Linked DNA regions of Xenopus tropicalis. The protein of the gene in region 2 interacts with the protein of the main gene of each other region in a pairwise test. Links are inferred from orthologs where the notes say so. Each region holds a gene or a part of one and is shown on either strand. Other genes may lie near its edges.

Region 1 (4,089 bases), on a different chromosome or scaffold from region 2:
CTTCACAGCTTGTGTAATATATTTTAGGAAATGTGCCCTTTGCATCCATGGTCCTGGGGAGGGTAGTAATTTACCGTTTATCAAATCAGAGAAAAAAAGCCATACAGCCAATCAAAATTATTTAGATGAAATTTCCCTTTAACCCATTAAGTGCTGCCTAACTTTCAGCAAGTGAGATCCTGCACTGAATACCCTGTATTCTGGCACTCAATGTCAATATAATACTGCACACGTAGATACTACAATCTACAGACCATGAAGGGTTAATCATTACAGAAGTCCACTGCTGTTCATGCCCCAAATTTCCATTTATATCACTTTGTGTCTCAGGATGTGGGTATATATGTGGTCAGACAGCTGTTCCTCACTAGGCCAAGACACACTGTCCGCCCACACATAAAACTGCGCCACTTCCTGAAACTCTGTGACTAGTTGACAGTTAAAGGGGATATAAACCCCCAAAAAACTGAAAAGTTAAATAAAATTCCACTATACAATCATTACATATTTTTACTGATTCTAAAGTGATTTGTATCCTTTACCCAGGTAGTATCACTTTTAACACAATGTAGCCGAAGCGGTTTGGCTAGTTTAGCTATGAAAAATACTGCACGGTTGCCTTCCGCTACATTGTTCCAACCAAACACAGTGGTTCTTAAAATGAAAACTCTAAAATCATAGCTTTGTACTGTGCTTTTGTGAATTTACTGACACAAAGTGTCTGGTTTTGTAGAATGCATTAGTTATTCAAAGAATGGTGTAAAAATAAAAAAATCCACTGGAGAGCCAAATGCATTCTGTGTTGTTTATTGGTTTAGAGATGCATAGCACTCTAAATACTAAGCATCTCTAAACAACACAGAACGCATTTGGCTCTCCAGTAGATTTTTTTATTTTTACATGGTACTTATTGAAGTGAACCTGGCGAACCCTACACCACTGTTTGATTGAGCCCCTTCATTGAGTCTTACACTTTGTGCCATACAAGTTGTATTTTTCCTTTCTGCAAAGGATGGGACAGATGCAAACTGGTTTCTTTGTAACTGCCACCCTCTAAAGGGGAAGCAAACACAAATATAAACATTTTGCATAATGAAAGAAAAGGCGGCTTTCCAATATACATTTAGTAACAACTGCCAATGGTTTTAAAGTTGTGTATAAATGCAATTGCTATTAAAAGTCGTGTGTGTTTGTCCATTTGAGCACTGCTGGTTACATCTCTTGTAACAATATATCAGCAGTAAGTCCTGCATACCTCTTGGTAATAGTGAAGTGCAGGTCAAGAAAACCTTGACCCGCACCATACCTCACCTGGTTTCTCCCCTCTAAATGAAAGTGTATAAAAGTAACTAAAATATAATGTGCTGCTGCCCTGCACTGGTAAAAGTTGTGTGTTTACTTCAGAAAGTCTACTATAATTTATATAAATAAGCTGCTATGTAGCCATGAGGGCAGCCATTCAAATGAGAAAAGGCACAGGCACATAGCAGATAACAGATAAAACACTATTGTATTCTACAGAACTTATCTGCTTTGTAACCTGTGCCTTTTCTCCTTTTTTCCAGCTTGAATGGCTGCCCCCATGGCTACACAGCAGCTTATTATATAAATTATAGTAGTGTTACTGTAGCAAACACACCAGTTTTACCAGTGCAGGGCAACAGTGCATTATATTTTTATTACTTTAAAGCTCTTTCATTTTTTGGTGTTACTGTTCCTTTAACCCATGGGCTGGCCCAAGTCTGTTCAACTGGCTTCTGTTACATTGTTTCCAAATTTTAGAACCACCAGGGCAGAGAATAGAAAGGAACCAACAGACACACTTTTAAATAGCTATTACGTCTGTAATTAATGTGTATTGAAAAATTAATTTCAATTTCAATTTATTTTATTAGGCATGTACAGCATTTGGAGAAAGATTTGCATTTTAACTGGAAGTTCCTCCTATCCCTCTTCTAGTTGTTGCTTAATGACAATTCCCATCAGACTCTGCCAGCCAGCAGTGGTTGTAAAATCAGGCTACCTGCATTTTTATAGGTTAAATATACCATTGTAGCCCAAGTATTGAAATATTTTTGTTTTCCTTGATAAAAAGCCTGCTTTATGTTACTTTTGGGAACATATTCATGTAAAAAGAACTCATGCTGTGAAACTCAATATAAATTGACTTATATAAGAACACAAGCCTTGGAGAAATGTAAAGTGAAAGTGATAGTGTTGCCACAAGCAATAACTGGGTTTACTTGGAAGGGTTGAACTTGATGGACTCTGGTATTTTTTCAACCCTATGTAGCTATCTATTTAGTTTCACTTACAAATATCCCTGGTTCATGGGAGTTATATACATACAGATCTTGAGCTTGTATGCAGTCTTACTCTTGGGTCCTCATATCTTACAGAACTACAACTGACAGTAAGCCTTCGTTATATGTCAGGGGATGATGGCAGTTATAGCAACATTAGGGAAGCCGACTATAAGATACAGCTTCTACTCCCAATGGCTGCCAATGGGATTTTGGGAGTTGTAGTTTACCAGATTGACAGGTTAAAATTCCCTGATCGGCAAGTTCCCACCAGAGAAGACCCACGTATCTCCCTTGGGATCTTGTACACAGCCGCTTAGGACAGACAGTCAGGCACTTACACGTGTCCGCAGACCATTCTGATTGGGGTGTCGAAGAGATCCAGGCAGATGGGGCAGGTGTACTTGTCGAAAATGTCGTTGTCCTGGGCTCCCCCGGAGCTGGACTGCATCTGCTGCCCCGCCATCTAAGACTTCTTTCCCCTTCTTTAGTTTCTCTATCACTTCCTCAAACACCCGCGTTCCAAGCCTCGTTGTGACGCTGGTTAGTACTGTGACACGTGATCTGTGGAACCTATAGAGTCAGAGAGGGTGGGAAGAGACCTTGCTGGCGTCAGCAATCTGTTTTTCTAGTTCGCTATGGCAAATCTCTAATAAATGATTGTACCATTAGTTATGTGTCATAATACTGGTTATGAGAAGTCACTTTAGGATACAGTCTCAATGGTGGTAGTGTGTTGAGGCAGTACAGTCATTAGAGAAAAGTACTATGTATAAACATTATCTAGTATAAATAAATTTAAAGCAACTGGACTTGTTTGGTACTCATCCGAGCAGCTTCTTCAGTTCAACTGACTGGTATGGGAAGTCCTCAGCTTATATACTCTTCCACTAATCCAATCACAATGGCACTTAGTAACGCTTCAGAAAGGTGACATCTGAAACTCACAGAGGTGTGAATGCTGTGGAGTTACTTTGAAAGGATTACCAAAGTATCATGCAACTCTTCAAACAGGTGTTACTTGTTAGAGTTGCATGAATGGATGTGTGAAGAGTTCTGAAACTGCCGGGGTACAGATGTTAGAACAGCATTGTATGTAGCAGACAGATGGTGTCGAAGTCCCCCGCCTCTGTTAAGGGATGGTTTCTCCACTTTGACATGAATGGCCTCTTTTACACCTCTTTAAAACCAGCGGATGTTGCTATTTTCAAAGGAGTGTCCCTTGTCTTTTAGGTGCAGAAATACAGCAGAGTCCTGGCCTGTAGTGTTTGCCCTCCTATGCTGAGCCATTCGCTTGGAGAGCAGTTGCTTTGTTTCACCAATGTACAGGTCTGTGCACTCCTCGCTACACTGGACTGCGTATACAACATTGCTCTGTTTTTCCTTTGGTGTTGGATTCTTTGGGTGTTGCATTCATGCAACTCTAACAAGTAACACCTGTTTGAAGAGTTGCATGATACTTTGGTAATCCTTTCAAAGTAACTCCACAGCATTCACACCTCTGTGAGTTTCAGATGTCACCTTTCTGAAGAGTTACTAAGTGCCATTGTGATTGGATTAGTGGAAGAGTATATATGCTGAGGACTTCCCATACCAGTCAGTTGAACTGAAGAAGCTGCTCGGATGAGTAGTGAAACGTCTTCAATGATTACCAAACAAGTCCAGTTGCTTTAAATTTATTTATACTAGATATACCATGACCTGGATGAATGAAAATCTTCATAGACATATGTATAAACATTCTTATTCACTATGTGGCGGACCTAGTGATATGCTAACACTCCCC
Region 2 (4,164 bases):
ATAAAATTACTTTAGAGTGTTATTCCCCTTTTAATAATTTACCAAATTCCAATAAATACACCAACAATAAAGAAAATGAAAATAAAATAAGGGGATATATTTTTCTACTAAGAAGTCAAGACAGCTTTTGTGGCTGCTTGTAGCCATAGCTGGACTTATCTATTTGCACAACTTGAGCAGACCCTCGTCAAAAAAAAAAGCAATGTGTATTACTAAATATCACTTAGTATCACTGAGATATTATGTGCATTCTAATCCAACTAGCTGCACCAGGTTCAGCCTAATAAAAGGTTCAGAATTTAAGGTGTCCATACATAGGGCAAATACTGGCTGCGATTCTTGATTGAGTCAGCAGGCTACTGACCCATCTGGCAGATCAAATACATTAGCCCTATGTCCAGGGCTAGGAGCTTCTGCTGCTCATGGAGAAAGTAAAATTGCAGAAATGACCACTAAAAACCTCTGGTGAACACTGCAGCTTAAGCTAAGTGAAGACAAACGGGGTGTAGTGCTGCATGTTATGATACTTTCTAAAAATCTTTTGTGGCCCTTGCTTAACCTAAAATAAATGGAGGACAAAGAAGAAATAAGCAATTACTTTATAACATTAGAAAATGTGTATTTCTTAATATGGTGAGCGATATTACTAATCCTAATTTGTAACTGCAACAATTTTTAGATGCAGCTTCTCAATGAATGGGCAGCACGCTGTCTCAAATGAAAGTTTCTCCATAAAGTGGCAGGAGGATATGCGGCAATGCCAGCCTTTGATCTAGCGCACACGAGAAAGTTACAGTTAACAAATTTGCACTCCACTGTTTCACAGAGTTACCCAGTGATTATGACCAGAAGCCACATATTTACCAAAGATTGAATCTAGAAGTCATCATAGTCTGCAAGAGTGAAATTCTGCTACTCTTTATACATTAATATGAAACTTTAGAGGGTATATTTATCAATACATATAAATGAGTTTACACTTTGATAAATATGTTTTCACTAATTGAATAGAAATTAATATAATGAGGGAAATTTCACTGTGGCTGACTATGGCAAGCTGTAGTTTAATACTTTGATAAATATCCCCCTTTGATTTCATTTCTGAAGTTTCACTGAATGGATTTCAAGGGCCATTAATAAGGAGAGAAAAAGTTGGAAGGGAGAGCCAGAGGGAACTGCAGTCTTTTCTACACAACTGTCCTACTTTTCCATGTCTCTAATACAATCCTTTAGTACCTTCTACATGACTCTAAACACTTCTGCAGCCCCACTCTATGGCAGTCTCTAATAAACTCCTGTCAAATCGTTCCAAGGCAGTCCCTAATACACTCCCATAAAAAAAACTCCATGGCAGCCCGTGATACACTCATGTCAAACCTATCCCTATCAATCTCTAACATACTTTTGTAGTAGTGATGAGCGGGTTGACCCACAACCTGCATTTTACCCTTAGGTCAGGCAGGTTAGGGTTGGGGGGTGTTGTGGGTTCAGGTTGGGTGTGGGTCAGACTAGGGAAGCACCTCTGCTCCTGAACTTTCCCTTCCTTGGAACCTAAGGCGAGAGCAGCAAACAATGTAGAAAGACGCAAGTACGTGTTTTAAATGCAAATCCTATATCGGCAACAATTTGTGGGATACGGTCAGTTGCAGGTTGACTTTTTCCTGACCCCCACACCACTATCTTGTAGTCTCTTCTGCAGTCCCTTTCCATGGCAGTCTCTACACAATCCTGTAGTCTCTTGATGGCAGTTTCCAATTCACTCCTATAGTACCTTTCCACGGCAGTCTCTAATACACTTCTGTAATTCTCCTCCAAAGCAGTCTCTAATACACTTCTGCAGTCCCTCTCCAAGGCAGTCCCTAATACACTTCTGCAGTCCGTCTCCAAGGCAGTCCCTAATACACTTCTGCAGTCCGTCTCCAAGGCAGTCCCTAATACACTTCTGCAGTCCCTCTCCAAGGCAGTCCCTAATACACTTCTGCAGTCCCTCTCCAAGGCAGTCCCTAATACACTTCTGCAGTCCCTCTCCAAGGCAGTCCCTAATACACTTCTGCAGTCCCTCTCCAAGGCAGTCCCTAATACACTTCTGCAGTCCGTCTCCAAGGCAGTCTCTAATACACTTCTGCAGTCCCTCTCCAAGGCAGTCCCTAATACACTTCTGCAGTCCGTCTCCAAGGCAGTCTCTAATACACTTCTGCAGTCCCTCTCCAAGGCAGTCTCTAATACACTTCTGCAGTCCCTCTCCAAGGCAGTCCCTAATACACTTCTGCAGTCCGTCTCCAAGGCAGTCTCTAATACACTTCTGCAGTCCCTCTCCAAGGCAGTCTCTAATACACTTCTGCAGTCCCTCTCCAAGGCAGTCTCTAATACACTTCTGCAGTCCCTCTCCAAGGCAGTCTCTAATACACTTCTGCAGTCCCTCTCCAAGGCAGTCTCTAATACAGTCAAGTAGTCCCTCTCCCTATCAGTCTCTAATACACTCCAATAGTCCCTCCCCATGGCATGCCTGGCTGTGGCAGCCTTCTATACTACCTCTTTAGAGCAGTTTACTGGATTTATCTTAAGCACACTGTCACCAATTGTTGCCCCTCATTGTATATAGCCAGACGCACTTCTGTCTCCTCTCACCTCTTCGCTTTTGAGCACCTCCTTGAACTCCCTTTTGATCCTCTGTGCTGCGATGTTCGCCATAATTGCCCCAGTTTCCGTACTTGACTGAGTCACCTTAAATTGCTGCAGTGCACGTTAAGTACGCCAGGCTTCCTCCCTCCGTGCAGTGCCGGCCCTGTGTGCTCTGCCTCCCCCGCCCCGCACAACGAAACCTAGCACAACAGTACACTGCAAAATGGCGAACCTGACACATGCGCAATACAAGAGTCTGGGCGGCCCACAGGAAGAACTTCCTGACAGGGTCCCTGCTCACGTCACTTTGGCCCGCCCCACAAATGAGACGTAACAGCGCGCCACAGAATCCCCGGGCTCCATTCATGCAGGGCTCAGTCACGTGATGTGTCACTGGACCCCAGCGCTAAACAGAAGAGTCGTGCAGTGTTGTAAAGTTTGGCTTTAGCAGCAGATTTCTATGAAACCAAAGGTCGTAGCCTGCCAGAGCTATGCAATTCTTATTAGAGGATGGGCTGACTACCTGCCCCTAGTAAGCATTTGTCTCAGCAAAATAGATATGCCACAACATGCATTAGTCACCTGACTCGTATTGGAAATCCAGAAGTTCCTGCTTAGTCTGCTGTATGGGAACTTTTTGTTCTCTTCCTTTTCAAAAGTCCTATGACTGGTCATGACCTACATCTGTTATCTAGAAAAAAAATAAAGCAGGGGCATAACTACAAAGGAGGCAGACCATGTGGTTGCAGGGGGGCCCTGGAGTGTAGAGGGCCCAGTAAGGGCCATGACACATAGGGAGATTAGTTGCACCACAACAAATGCCATCCCGTGGCATACACGGCACTGCGATATGCCGAAGTCACCGACATTTCCTCTCAAGGCGACTTTGGCAAATGGCGGCGCTGCGTATGCCATCCTACCGCTGATTTACATTGTAGCCGGTGGGATGGCATTGCGGGGAGATTAGTCGCCCGCAACAACAGAGATTTGTCATGGCAGCTCTAATCTCCCTGTATGTCACGGCCCTGAATAGTGAGCAGTTTTACTATATCTTGATAGGATAGGTCAATTTACCAACGATTTGGGCCCCTAAATTGAATTCTTTTGGGACAAGTGACATCTATTCATGCCACTGGTTGTGTGCATTTTCCTAAGCAGAGATGCTATCTGGATAATATAGCAAAGGCCAGCCAGTTAAATGATACATGCCACTACAGTTATTAAAGGACAAGGAAAGGCTAATACCTTGGGTGGTGCCAGTTACTTAAAATAAATGCACCACCAGAGATACCTTGTGCCTCGATTTGAATTCTATATCTGTATATCCATAGTTCAGTTAATTTTCTGGCTTAAAGGGGTGCTGCTCATCCCAAAAGAAATTACCTTTAAATAGTAACACCTTTTACAATGTGTCATTATGGCTTAATTTTGGCGGAAAATTAAAAGCCACCATTCTTAATTTAAAAGGTATTTTCAAATGCTTTAGAGACTTGGGACTGATTATGTGACATAAAGTCTTTATGATACCATAGCGGTCATTCT

Evidence for each region. The genes of interacting proteins can lie anywhere in the genome.
Region 1: the proteins of ube2k (region 2) and rnf114 interact in binary tests that used the Homo sapiens proteins (3 or more experiments, as listed by UniProt). The link is inferred for Xenopus tropicalis from reciprocal best matches to the Homo sapiens genes UBE2K and RNF114.

Annotation. Positions count from the first base shown.
Region 1 is NC_030686.2:36,174,161-36,178,249, reverse strand, and holds the start of rnf114 (E3 ubiquitin-protein ligase RNF114), read right to left. Parts: upstream 2,812-4,089; 5' UTR 2,770-2,811; coding exon 2,645-2,769; intron 1-2,644. UniProt on the Homo sapiens protein: E3 ubiquitin-protein ligase that promotes the ubiquitination of various substrates. In turn, participates in the regulation of many biological processes including cell cycle, apoptosis, osteoclastogenesis as well as innate or adaptive immunity.
Region 2 is NC_030677.2:36,220,715-36,224,878, reverse strand, and holds the start of ube2k (ubiquitin-conjugating enzyme E2 K), read right to left. Parts: upstream 2,803-4,164; 5' UTR 2,692-2,802; coding exon 2,629-2,691; intron 1-2,628. UniProt on the Homo sapiens protein: Accepts ubiquitin from the E1 complex and catalyzes its covalent attachment to other proteins. In vitro, in the presence or in the absence of BRCA1-BARD1 E3 ubiquitin-protein ligase complex, catalyzes the synthesis of 'Lys-48'-linked polyubiquitin chains.